2 linked regions of the Danio rerio genome follow. The protein of the gene in region 1 interacts with the protein of each later gene in a biochemical or structural test. Links are inferred from orthologs where the notes say so. Each region holds a gene or a part of one and is shown on either strand. Other genes may lie near its edges.

What was found.
Region 2: the proteins of efl1 (region 1) and sbds interact in a biophysical measurement, tested with the Homo sapiens proteins (2 studies listed by BioGRID and IntAct, with this or other methods). The link is inferred for Danio rerio from reciprocal best matches to the Homo sapiens genes EFL1 and SBDS.

What each region holds. Positions count from the first base shown.
Region 1 is NC_133182.1:12,339,111-12,344,991, forward strand, and holds part of efl1 (elongation factor-like GTPase 1), read right to left. Parts: intron 2,961-5,881; 5' UTR 2,952-2,960; coding exon 2,861-2,951; intron 2,200-2,860; coding exon 2,132-2,199; intron 964-2,131; coding exon 879-963; intron 796-878; coding exon 662-795; intron 1-661. UniProt on the Homo sapiens protein: GTPase involved in the biogenesis of the 60S ribosomal subunit and translational activation of ribosomes.
Region 2 is NC_133190.1:1,934,463-1,940,843, forward strand, and holds the end of sbds (ribosome maturation protein SBDS), read left to right. Parts: intron 1-17; coding exon 18-147; intron 148-1,416; coding exon 1,417-1,617; intron 1,618-2,194; coding exon 2,195-2,359; intron 2,360-4,301; coding exon 4,302-4,430; 3' UTR 4,431-4,993; downstream 4,994-6,381. UniProt on the Homo sapiens protein: Required for the assembly of mature ribosomes and ribosome biogenesis.

The DNA.
Region 1 (5,881 bases):
AACCGCACATGCGAAAACGAGTGTCATATAGCAGCAATGAGGAGATTGTAAATAAAAAAGAATGTAAGGATGTCGCCAGAGTGGCTTTTTGGTTTCTTTTCTTGTTTATCTCAGCCACTAGCTCCCCATCTGAAAGAGTTTTTAACATAGGGGGTAATATAGCCATCCAACTTCACAGTTTGTAATGTTGCAATATGTATTTGAATAATGATGGCTGGTTCCTTTACTTGAAAGCTCAGATTTGATTATCATAATTAGTGTTGTTTACAGAGTTTGAGGTTTACTGTATCATTACTATTGACACATTAAAGTTTGCTTTGATTGTTCAGCATTTACACTTTACCAATGTACACACTTTGTAACATTTTATTTATCAAGTTTAAGGGTCTCTTTATTTCATTATAAAGAGATATTTTGTTTTTGTTATTTTAACTATTAAACTATACAGGGGCTAATAATTATGACTTCAACTGTATATATTATTTCGCCCTTTTTTTCTCTATTTGTTATGGATGGTCAAACGTATGCTATTACATACAAGTCAAAAAAAGCATGAGGCTGGGCGAATTACAGTGTAACTTTTAAAGCATTTAATTTCTATGCACTTTGTGTGTCTAATCTACGAAAAACAAGTGAAAAGACTCTCGATGTTGGATGATACCTGCGGACACACTCCCTCCACAGCATCGACCACAACAATGGCCCCGTCACATAATCTGACAGCGGTGGACACCTCAGAGGAGAAGTCCACATGACCGGGAGAGTCGATCAGATTAATGAGGAACTCCACTCCTCCTGCAATGACAACGGCAAACATAAGCCAGAGCAGTACATCGTGTCGAATCAGTAAAAACAATACAGACCACGATGGCCATCACCTGTTGCGAAATGTAATGAAATAGCGCTGGACTTCATGGTGATTCCTCTGATCTGCTCATCCTCCCTGCTGTCCAGATATCTCAGCTACAGGAGCAATGACAGAAAGCAGCAGTGACAGACAAGATGGTGAGCTTCAATTGTATGAGTCTTATTTCAACTCCAAACCAACAGGGGTGTGTGTGTATGAGTGTACTGTAATACTATTTTCAAAATATTATTTTATGGATAGTTACAATTTTGAATTTTGGAAGGACAGCGGTTGACATAAAAAAAGTCATGTAAATGTCTGTCTGTCTGTCTATCAATCATTTATTTTAATTATAATTCATAATTAGTTCAACTTTTAAATGTATTTTTTATGATTCATTCAGTAATTTTCATTCGGCTTAGTTCCTTATTTGTCAGGGGTCACAATGGTGCAATGAACCTACAACTATTTCAGCATATGTTTTACAAAGTGGATGCCCTTCCAGTCGCAACCCAGTACTGAAAAAAATATTTATTATTTACTTGAATATTTTTATGTTTTTTTAAGAAATAATAATAATAATAATAATTTGTATTATCATAATCATAATCATCATCATCATCATCATCATCATCATTATTATTATTATTATTATTATTATTATTATTATTCACTGTGGCTTTAATGTATTTTATTTCAGTTTTGTTGGTATTCACCTTACAATTTTCTCATCTAATATAATTTTTCTATTTAATATCTTTTTTTTTATTTCAGCAATACTTTAATTAATTATTTTATTTATTTATGAATTGTTTCTTTTATAGTTATACACAACAACAGTGATGATATTAAAGATACATTGTAAGATGCATTAAATCAATTGTGGGTTTTAGTCAATTATTTTAGATAATACATGTACAGTATATATAATAATTATTATTAAATTTAATGTAGAGTTAATATATTTTATTCAGTTTTAGTATTTTGAGAACTTAATGAGCATTTCTGAAACTTAATGAGTATTTCTGAAATTTCATGATGAAAGCTTTTTTTTAGTATTATTATAATTCTTTTCTTTCAGCTTAATTTCAATCACAAAAGCAACGTTTTATATTTCTAGTTTTAGTTAATAACACATCATTTTAAATACACAGAGTTAATAAATAATAATACATCAAAATTAAATAAAAAAAAACAATCAACATATGCTAAAAAAAGTATAATTTATTGTGTGTACTTTGTTTTTAGGCTAACAACTGGTCATTTTCCAGAATGTACACTTACCTTTCCTGCTAAACGACTGGATATAATACCATTACTGGCCACCAGACAGTCTGCTAACGTCGTCTTCCCTATAGACAACACACAATGTTTCAATTTATACAAAAATATAAAAATCTGGCAGTAGATACTTGACTATTAATGACTATAACAATAAATAAATAAATAAGCATTAAAATGTATGTAGTTGAAGTGAGAATTATTAAAGTCCCTGAATTATTACCCCTCATCTCCCGCTTATTTCGCTTTTTCCCCAATTTCTGTTTAACCTAAAGAAAATTTTTAACACATTTTTAAACATAATAGTTTTAATAACTCATCTCTAATAACTGATTTATTTTATCTTTGCCATGATGACAGTAAATAATATTTGACTACATATTTTTCAAGACACTTCTATACAGCTTAAAGTGACATTTAAAGGCTTAACTAGGTTAATTAGGTTAATTAGACAAGTTAGGGTAATTAGACAAGTTATTGTATATTGATGGTTTGTTCTGTAGACTTAAAAAAAATTGCTTAAAGGGGCTAATAATAGAAATATAAAAAAAAATTAAAACTGCTTTTATCCTAGCCGAAATAAAACAAATACGACATCCTCTAGAAGAAAAAATAATATCAGACATACTGTGAAAATGTCCTTGCTCTGTTAAACATCATTTGGGGAAAGAAAATTCAAAGGGGGGCTAATAATTCTGATTTCAACTGTAAATCGGCAACTTTCAAACTTACCATGATCTACATGAGCAAGAATACACAGATTCCTAATGTGTGCCGTTTTCTTTTGCAGTGCAATTATCTTCTCCAAACTCGTGTGACCCATTGTTGCTTTCTATATCAAGAAGACGAAGAGCACTTTATTAGTAGAATAAACACAAATAAAATTAACACCCCAAAAATATTTGGGACTTATAAATAGCTTAAAATGTATTCATTTAATTCTAGAATACAACACAAGTGACATCTACAAATGCTGTTCAAGGTATACTTTCTTAAAATCACTCTACATCTCTATAAAAACACTGTGCATTTCAGAGTGTGCCACACACAGGTGAGTGGGCTTGACAAACCATCTGTCTAAAAACTTTCTCCACATGCACCAGACACTTTACTTAAACTCCAGTTTAAAAGGCCTCAATAAAAAAAAGCAATGTTTACTTGTGAATGCACCATCCAACCATGTTCCACTACTTGTTTTCATCAACCTTTAATGCCTTCTTTGCACAATACCTTTATGTCCTAAGAAAAAAGTGCTAGTATAGTATAGTATAGTTAGATTACCGCTCCGGTATCTTTGATATTTATAGGTTTAAAATAGCTCTCATAAAAAAAATTTCCAAAATAATGTGGAGGGGCAAGCATCAATTTGATTTTAAATATTTATTTTTCATAAGTGTTTCTTCATTGGGGTGGCACGGTGGCTCAATGGTTAGCACTATCACATCACAGTTGGCATTTCGATGTGGAGTTTGCATGTTCTCCCCATGTTCGAGTGGGTTTCCCGCACAGACCAAAGACATGCACTATAGGTAAATTGGGTAAAACAAAATTGGCCATAGTGTATGAGTGCAAGTGTGAATGTGTGTATGGGTGTTCCTAGTACTGGGTTGGAGGTGGAAAAGTATCAACTGCATAAAACATATACCAGAATAGTTGGTAGTTCATTCCACTGTGGCGACCCCTAATAAATAAGGGACTAAGCCGAGGGAAAATGAATGAATAAATGAATGAATGAATGAATGAATGTTTAATTATTTTAAAGCCGACAAGCCTATTTAGGGAAAATATTTTGAGTGGTGTCTCTCTTTAAAATTCCACTCTTTTAAGTTTACATATCCAACTTAATTGAGGTAAAGTTGGTTTATATTCACACATTCTGACTTTCTCCTTAATAGTATAATTTCAGAAAGTATTATTTGCAAATCGTATTAGCAACCAATGACTATCAAAGTTCAAAACAAATAGTGCTAATGTTTTGAAGTCATACATGTGATTTTTTTTGTTCGAATATTCAAAGTACCACGGTAAAAAAATACAGACCGTGTCACAATTGTCACTGAATGAGTGTGTGAATATAAAACCAGCTTCACCTCAATTACAAGTGATTTCTTTATGAGTGGCACAGAATGAGTGAAAGTCGATTACCAGCTAAATGATTGAGCTTAAGCTGGTTTTATATTCACACTAAACATTGAAATCATTTCAGCAGTCAATGGCTATCAAAGTAACCTACAACACTGTTCACAGTCAAATAAATAGTGCTGATGCTGTCATATTTACATGTGAGTTTAGAGTGAATATTTAAATTACCATGGTAAACAATATAGGAAGTGTGTCACAAGTTGTCACTGAAAAAATGTGCGAATATAAAACCAACTTTACCTCAACTCAAACTTATTTTTTTTATATAAATGACAGAATGAGTGAAAGTCGATTACCAGCAAAATGAATGAGGTAAAGTTGGTTTTATATTCACACTAAATAATAAAATCATATTAGCAGCCAGTGACTATCAACAACATTGTACACAGCCAAATAAATTGTGCTAATGTTGTCATATTTACATGCGATTTCAGACCGAATATTTAAAGTACCATGGTAAACAATACAAAGAGCGTGTCACAAGTTGTCACTAAATGAATGTGCGAATTTAAAACCAACTTCACCTCAATTAGGCAAGGCAAGTTTATTTATATAGCACATTTCATACACAGTGGCAATTCAAAGTGCTTTACATAAACAAGAATAAAAGAAACAAGTAAAATAAAAATAAAAATAAATAATAAAAATGAGTAAAAAAACATAAAAACAGGTCAAATGTGATATAAAAGAATGAAGAACAAGAGAAAAACATAATAGTGTGGTCTGTCGGACGCAGCACAGTGCTCACAGATGTGTTTTCAGTCTTGATTTGAATGTGCCTACTGTTGGAGCACATCTGATCATTTCTGGAAGCTGATTCCAGCAGCGAGGAGCATAGTGGCTGAAAGCTGATTCACCCTGCTTTGACTGAACTCTTGGAACTTCTAGTTTATATGATCCTAAAGATCTGAGTGATCTGTTGGGTCAGTATTCAGTGAGCATATCTGTAATGTATTTAGGTCCTAGGCCACTTAGTGATTTATAGACCAGTAATAATACTTTAAAATCTATTCTGAATGTAACTGGGAGCCAGTGCAGGGTTCAACGCTAAGGATTTTTTCTACTGGTCTGATCGGGCCAGTGGTTTAGATTTTTACTTGCCCTGCCAAAAAAAGGGAAGTTAATAGCTATTTTTAGCCACATATTTTAATTAAAGTGTCAAAAATAAAGTCTGTAAATCTAGAATTTCAATACTTTAAAAAAATGTAAATAAAAGTTATGCAAGCAAAAAGAGCAGTATGGAAAATGTGCAGGTATTTTATTGCGGTTTAAAATTATTTAACAAAAGGTGGCTGACTTGTCCAACTGACGGAAAACTGTGCAAAACATCACTTCATTTTTATTTTGTCGTGTTGTTCCCACGTAAATGTCTACTTCCAAGATGTTAGAAACAGACATTTTCTTTTAGCCTTATAATTTGATGTTGCCGCCATGTTGCCGTTTCTTTGCTGTACTGATTGTTACCAGGTTACAGAAAAAATTGCATGCTCAATCAGATAAGAGGAACTGGAAACTTTTCTACATCACAGAAAAGGTAGTGTTTAAAGACTTAAAAGCACAAACTTAAAATGCACGCAATTGACAAATAGTCAGACAAATTAAATGTAAGTG
Region 2 (6,381 bases), on another chromosome or scaffold:
TGTTTTTTTTGTATTAGGGAGAAAGATCTTGATGAAGTCCTGCAAACCAACACAGTCTTTGTGAATGTGTCCAAGGGTCAAGTGGCGAAGAAAGAAGACCTATCCAATGCTTTTGGAACAGATGACCTGACTGAAATATGCAAACAGGTGATCTGAATGGTCAAAGCTATGGGATTCATAAGAACAATACTGTAATTACTATTTTACAATAAAAACATTTTTTACCATTTGAACTATTAATCACAACCCAGCAGACAATGCCCATTTTAACAATGCTAAAGAAAAGCAATGATGTATATTAGTAATTTATTAATAGCAAGTTATAACTAGTTTATTTCACGGCTGTCTGCAATGCTGGATTTTGATTGCAAAATTCCAAGGTATGTTATTCCCAGACAACAACCGCTGAATAACACATGCTTCTCTGGGAGCTGAGAATCACAGTGACTTAATATGTTTATATCCATATACTTACATTCACATGTAAATGCTTGTCTGTCATGCTGCATTTTTTGTCTTGTGACTAAATAATATACCTGGGTTAGTGTATACTCTATTCAGCAGGTTTAGTGTCTGTGAGCTTTGCATTTTTAACTGTTTGCCGTCATCTAGTGTCTGAATGCACAGGTTGTTGTATACATTTCTAACGTCCTAGTGTTTAATTAAAGAATTAATAAACTATTACGGCTCCTAGCTATGTTTTGTGTCAAAGTTTTATGTTTTAATGCAAGCAGCCATGTAATAAGTAGGATGAAGTACATCCAGGATAGTTGTTTTTGCAGAATAAAGCCCTTCAGTCTTCACATCGGGCTGCTGATAAACCTGTCAGGCTTAATTCTGCGATAACAACCTTCTGCAAGTACTTGATCACTAACATTGCAATCTATTTAGTAGGCAAATATTGTTTACAAATCTTTAACAGTTTTATTAATGGGTGGTTTTTGACTGTTATGCTCCGTCTTCTGACTGAATAGTATAAGTAGGTTAGTATATGCTCCGTTAAGAAGGTTTTGTCTCTGTCAGCTTTGTGTTTTTGACTGTTTGGGGCCATCTAGTGTCTGAATAATCTGCAGGTTAGTGTATACTCCATCAGCTGTTTCTGTAATTTCTGTCAGCTTTGTGTTTGATTATAGAATTAATAAACTATTACGGCTCATAGCTATGTTTTGTGTCTAATTTTTATGTTTTGGTGCAAGTAGCCGTGTAATAAGTAAGATCAAGTACATCCAGGATAGTTGTTTTCACAGAAACAGTCTTTATAACGGGCTGCTGATAAACCTGGCAGACTTTATTCTGCGATAACAACCTTCTGCATATACTTGTTTCCCTAACATAGCAATCTATTTAGCAGGAAAATGTTGTTTACAAATCTTTAACGGTTTCATAAATCGATGTTATTTTTGTCTGTGCTTCCAGATTTTGTCCAAAGGAGAACTGCAGGTATCAGACAAGGAACGACAGAGTCAACTGGAGCAGATGTTTCGTGATATTGCAACTATTGTGGCTGAAAAATGTGTGAATCCTGAGACCAAGCGGCCTTACACAGTGAACCTTATAGAGAGAGCCATGAAGGACATCCACTTCTCTGTTAAAGCAAACAAAAGCACTAAACAGCAGGTCAGTAGATATTGATCATTGGAGGATCTGTAGCTATGCTTCCATTCAAAGATGTGAATTAGATTCATGCACAAAACTGGAATATTGCATAAAACTTTAGTGAATAAACCAGCGTTTAAATAGAACAAAATCATCACTTGCTGATAAACTGGAGCAGATATCAGTCAGAGAAATGTAGTTTAGTGTGTTGGGATTTGCTACGGTGGTGTTTTTTTCTGCTCTAATAAATGAGTTGCGCCTCAGAAGCCAAAACGCAATTAATGTTGTGGCTTTTGGAGGCGTGACACGCTCTTTGGGAGCACAGACAGATGCTCAAGACGGTTCTGGTGAGAATAATAATACTACTGAAGCACTGTGATGACGGACTGACAGCTGAGGGCTTTTAGACAGACCGGAGCAACATTTCAGATGTTTTACACTGTGCTGGAAACGCTGCAAAGTCCATCAATACATCCCATCACACACATTTCATCATCACATGATTTTGTTGATCTACATACCACATCATGATTACTGAAGAACTGACTCTAAATAGAGGTGTTGATGATAATAATTAAACCAGCGTCTCCCCCTGCAGGCTCTTGAGGTCATCAAGCAGCTGAAGGAATCCATTCAGATCCAGAGAGCTCACATGCGCCTGCGCTTCGTCCTGCCAGCCAAGGATGGGAAGAGGCTGAAGGAGAAGCTCAAACCATTAATAAAGGCAGTGGAAAATGAGGACTTTGACGACCAGCTGGAAATGGTGAGTCGGCAGTTTTTTTTAGCCTAGAGCGCCGTCTGCTGTTAAACTCTAGCCTAGAGCGCCGCCTGCTGTTAAACACTAGCCTAGAGCGCAGTCTCCTGTTAAACACTAGCCTAGAGCGCCGCCTGCTGTTAAACACTAGCCTAGAGCGCAGTCTCCTGTTAAACACTAGCCTAGAGCGCCGTCTGCTGTTAAACACTAGCCTAGAGCGCTGCCTGCTGTTAAACACTAGCCTAGAGCACCGCCTGCTGTTAAACACTAGCCTAGAGCGCAGTCTCCTGTTAAACACTAGCCTAGAGCGCAGTCTCCTGTTAAACACTAGCCTAGAGCGCCACCTGCTGTTAAACACTAGCCTAGAGCGCAGTCTCCTGTTAAACACTAGCCTAGAGCGCCACCTGCTGTTAAACACTAGCCTAGAGCGCCGTCTGCTGTTAAACACTAGCCTAGAGCGCCACCTGCTGTTAAACACTAGCCTAGAGCGCTGCCTGCTGTTAAACACTAGCCTAGAGCACCGCCTGCTGTTAAACACTAGCCTAGAGCGCCGCCTGCTGTTAAACACTAGCCTAGAGCGCCGCCTGCTGTTAAACACTAGCCTAGAGCGCCGCCTGCTGTTAAACACTAGCCTAGAGCGCAGTCTCCTGTTAAACACTAGCCTAGAGCGCCGTCTGCTGTTAAACACTAGCCTAGAGCGCCGTCTGCTGTTAAACACTAGCCTAGAGCGCAGTCTCCTGTTAAACACTAGCCTAGAGCGCAGTCTCCTGTTAAACACTAGCCTAGAGCGCCACCTGCTGTTAAACACTAGCCTAGAGCGCCGTCTGCTGTTAAACACTAGCCTAGAGCGCTGCCTGCTGTTAAACACTAGCATAGAGCACCGCCTGCTGTTAAACACTAGCCTAGAGCGCCGTCTGCTGTTAAACAGTAGCCTAGAGCGCCGTCTGCTGTTAAACACTAGCCTAGAGCGCCATCTGCTGTTAAACATTAGCCTAGAATGCCGTCTGCTGTTAAACACTAGCCTAGAGCGCCGTCTGCTGTTAAAAACTAGCCTAGAGCGCCGCCTGCTGTTAAACACTTGCCTAGAGCGCCATCTGCTGGTAAACATTAGCCTAGAACGCCGTCTGCTGTTAAACACTAGCCTAGAGCGCCATCTGCTGTTAAACATTAGCCTAGAATGCCGTCTGCTGTTAAACATTAGCCTAGAGCGCCGTCTGCTGTTAAAAACTAGCCTAGAGCGCCGCCTGCTGTTAAACACTTGCCTAGAGCGCCATCTGCTGGTAAACATTAGCCTAGAACGCCGTCTGCTGTTAAACATTAGCCTAGAGAGCCGTCTGCTGTTAAAAACTAGCCTAGAGCGGCGCCTGCTGTTAAACACTTGCCTAGAGCGCCGTCTGCTGTTAAACACTTGCCTAGAGCGCCGTCCACTGTTAAACACTTGCCTAGAGCACCGTCTGCTGTTAAACGCTAGCCTAGAGCACTGTCTGCTGTTAAACACTAGCCTAGAGCGCCGTCTGCTGTTAAACACTAGCCTAAAGCGCCGTCTGCTTTTAAACTTTTTTGTTTTTTCTTTCCGTGTGTGACTGAACGTGCATTCGACAGCCCCCAGAAGTCAGCGATTTTAAGTCAATAATGTACATTTGTGTAAAGATTTTTGTTGATCTGTTTTTCAAGACATGCGTTAAAGGGATAGTTCACGCAGGAATTAAATTGTCACCTTTTACCTCCCTGTAATTTTAAAACAATGCTGGAAACCTGTACCCTTTGACTTCCACAGTACTGTATTTGTTTTGCCTACTATGGCACTGAATGGTTACAGGTTTCAGTGTGAGTAAATAGATGATCTATTAATTTAAAAGGGAAATAACCATCAGACAAGAAGTAGATAGACAGGTTTTGACATTTTATCCGTATTCTCCATGTGTTACAGGAGTTGTTTTTGCTCTTTCAGGTGTGTTTGATAGATCCAGGCTGTTTTCGGGATATTGATGAGCTCATCCGCTGTGAGACCAAAGGAAAGGGAACTCTTGAGGTGCTCAGTCTCAAAGATGTGGAGGAAGGGGATGAGAAACTCGAATAAACACTTCATTTATTTTCACCTGCTTTCTTTAACACATTAAACTACTGCTGATTTATTTTATATGGGCTGCTCGACTGTTGGAGTTTGAATGTGGCCAAACTATTAGCAGCTACTGCATCAGTATTTCAATACATTGTTAATAATAGACTCTAAAATAGTAATAAAATCCACATTTTATTTTCTGTGAAAATGGAATACATATTTATTTTGATTAATAACAGAAGTCAAAATATGATATTCTGCAAGAGTGCATCTTTATTATTAATATTATTATTTTGCTTTCTTTTAAATCTGAGGTGCCGAATTCCCATTTTCAGCAGGGTTTGTTAATCTACGAAGAAAGTAGAAAATAATTTAAAAGTTTTAATTGTCTAATCTGATGCCAGAGAAACTTTATCTTGTCACAGTTAAGACTCCCTTTACATTCACTATTTGTAGTATTTAAATAAATAAGCATCAACCTCTATATAAACCTCTATAAACTGTGATTCTGCTTAGACTGAAGGTGAAATTCGTTGTTCTTTGGTTTAACACTAAAATAAATAACATTGTTCTGCGTTCTACAAAGTTGTTTTTCTGAATGAATTTTTTTTACAATGTGCAGTCAGTGTGCTCTATGTAAAGTTATTGAGTGTGAACTAATAGCACTTGACCGGCCACTTTATTAGGTACACCTTACTAGTACCATGTTTGACCCCCTTTTGCCTTCAGAACTTCTTTAATCCTTTGGCAGAGATTCAACAAGGCACTGGAAATATTCCTCAGAGATTTTGCTCCATATTAACATGATAGCATCACACAGTTGCTGCAGATTTGTCGGCTGCACATCCATGATACCGATCTTCCATCCCTCCACATCCTAAAGGTGCTCTATTGGATTGAGCTCTGGTGACTGAAAAGGCCATTTGAGTACAGTGAACTCATTGTCATGTTCAAGAAACCAGTCTGACATGATTGAGCTTTATGACATGCTGCGTTATCCTGCTAGAAGTAGCCATCAGAAGATGAAGACACTGTGCTCATAAAGGGATGGACATGGTCAGCAGCAATACTCAGGTAGGCTGTGGTGTTGACACGATGCTCAATTGGTACTAATGAACCCAAAGTGTGCCAAGAAAATCTCCTCCACACCATTACACCTACATTACATGATACAAGGCAGGATGATCCATGCTTTCATGTTGTTGATGCCAAATTCTGACCCGACCATCTGAATGTGTCAGCAGAAATGGAGACTCATCAGAGCAGCAACATTTCTCCAATCTTCTATTGTCCAGTTTTGGTGAGTCTGTGTGATTTGTAGCCTCAGTTTCCTGTTCTTAGCTGACAGGAGCGGCACCCGGTGTGCTCTTCTGCTGCTGTAGCCCATCCGCCTCAAGGTTGGACGTGTTGTGTGTTCAGAGATGCTCTTCTGCAGAGCTCGGTTGTAACGAGTGCTTATTTGAGTTACTGTTGCCTTTCTATCAGCTGGAACCAGTCTGGCCATTCTCCTCTGACCTCTGGCATCAACAAGGCATTTGCGCCCACAGAACTGCCGCTCACTGGATATTACCACTTTATCAGACCATTCTCTGTAAACCCTAGAGATGGTTGTGCATGAAAATCCCAGTAGATCAGCAGCTTCTGAAAAACACCAGACAGTCAGGTATCAACAACCATGCAATTTTCACAGTCACTTAAATCCCCTTTCTTCCCCATTCTGATGCCTGATTTGAACTGCAGCAGATCGTCTTGACCATGTCTACACGCCTGAATGCAGCGAGTTGCATTGACGAGCAGTTGGACAGGTGTGCCTAATAAAGTGGCCGGTACGCGTAGTTTCTCTCCTTGGTTTCAGTTTTGGGCATCAAAGTTTGCATTCAAAGTCCCACTTAAAATAAACACACACAAACAGTTATATAGCATCTTTTAATATATAAAAAGGAACATTTAAAATTTGAATCTTATTTAC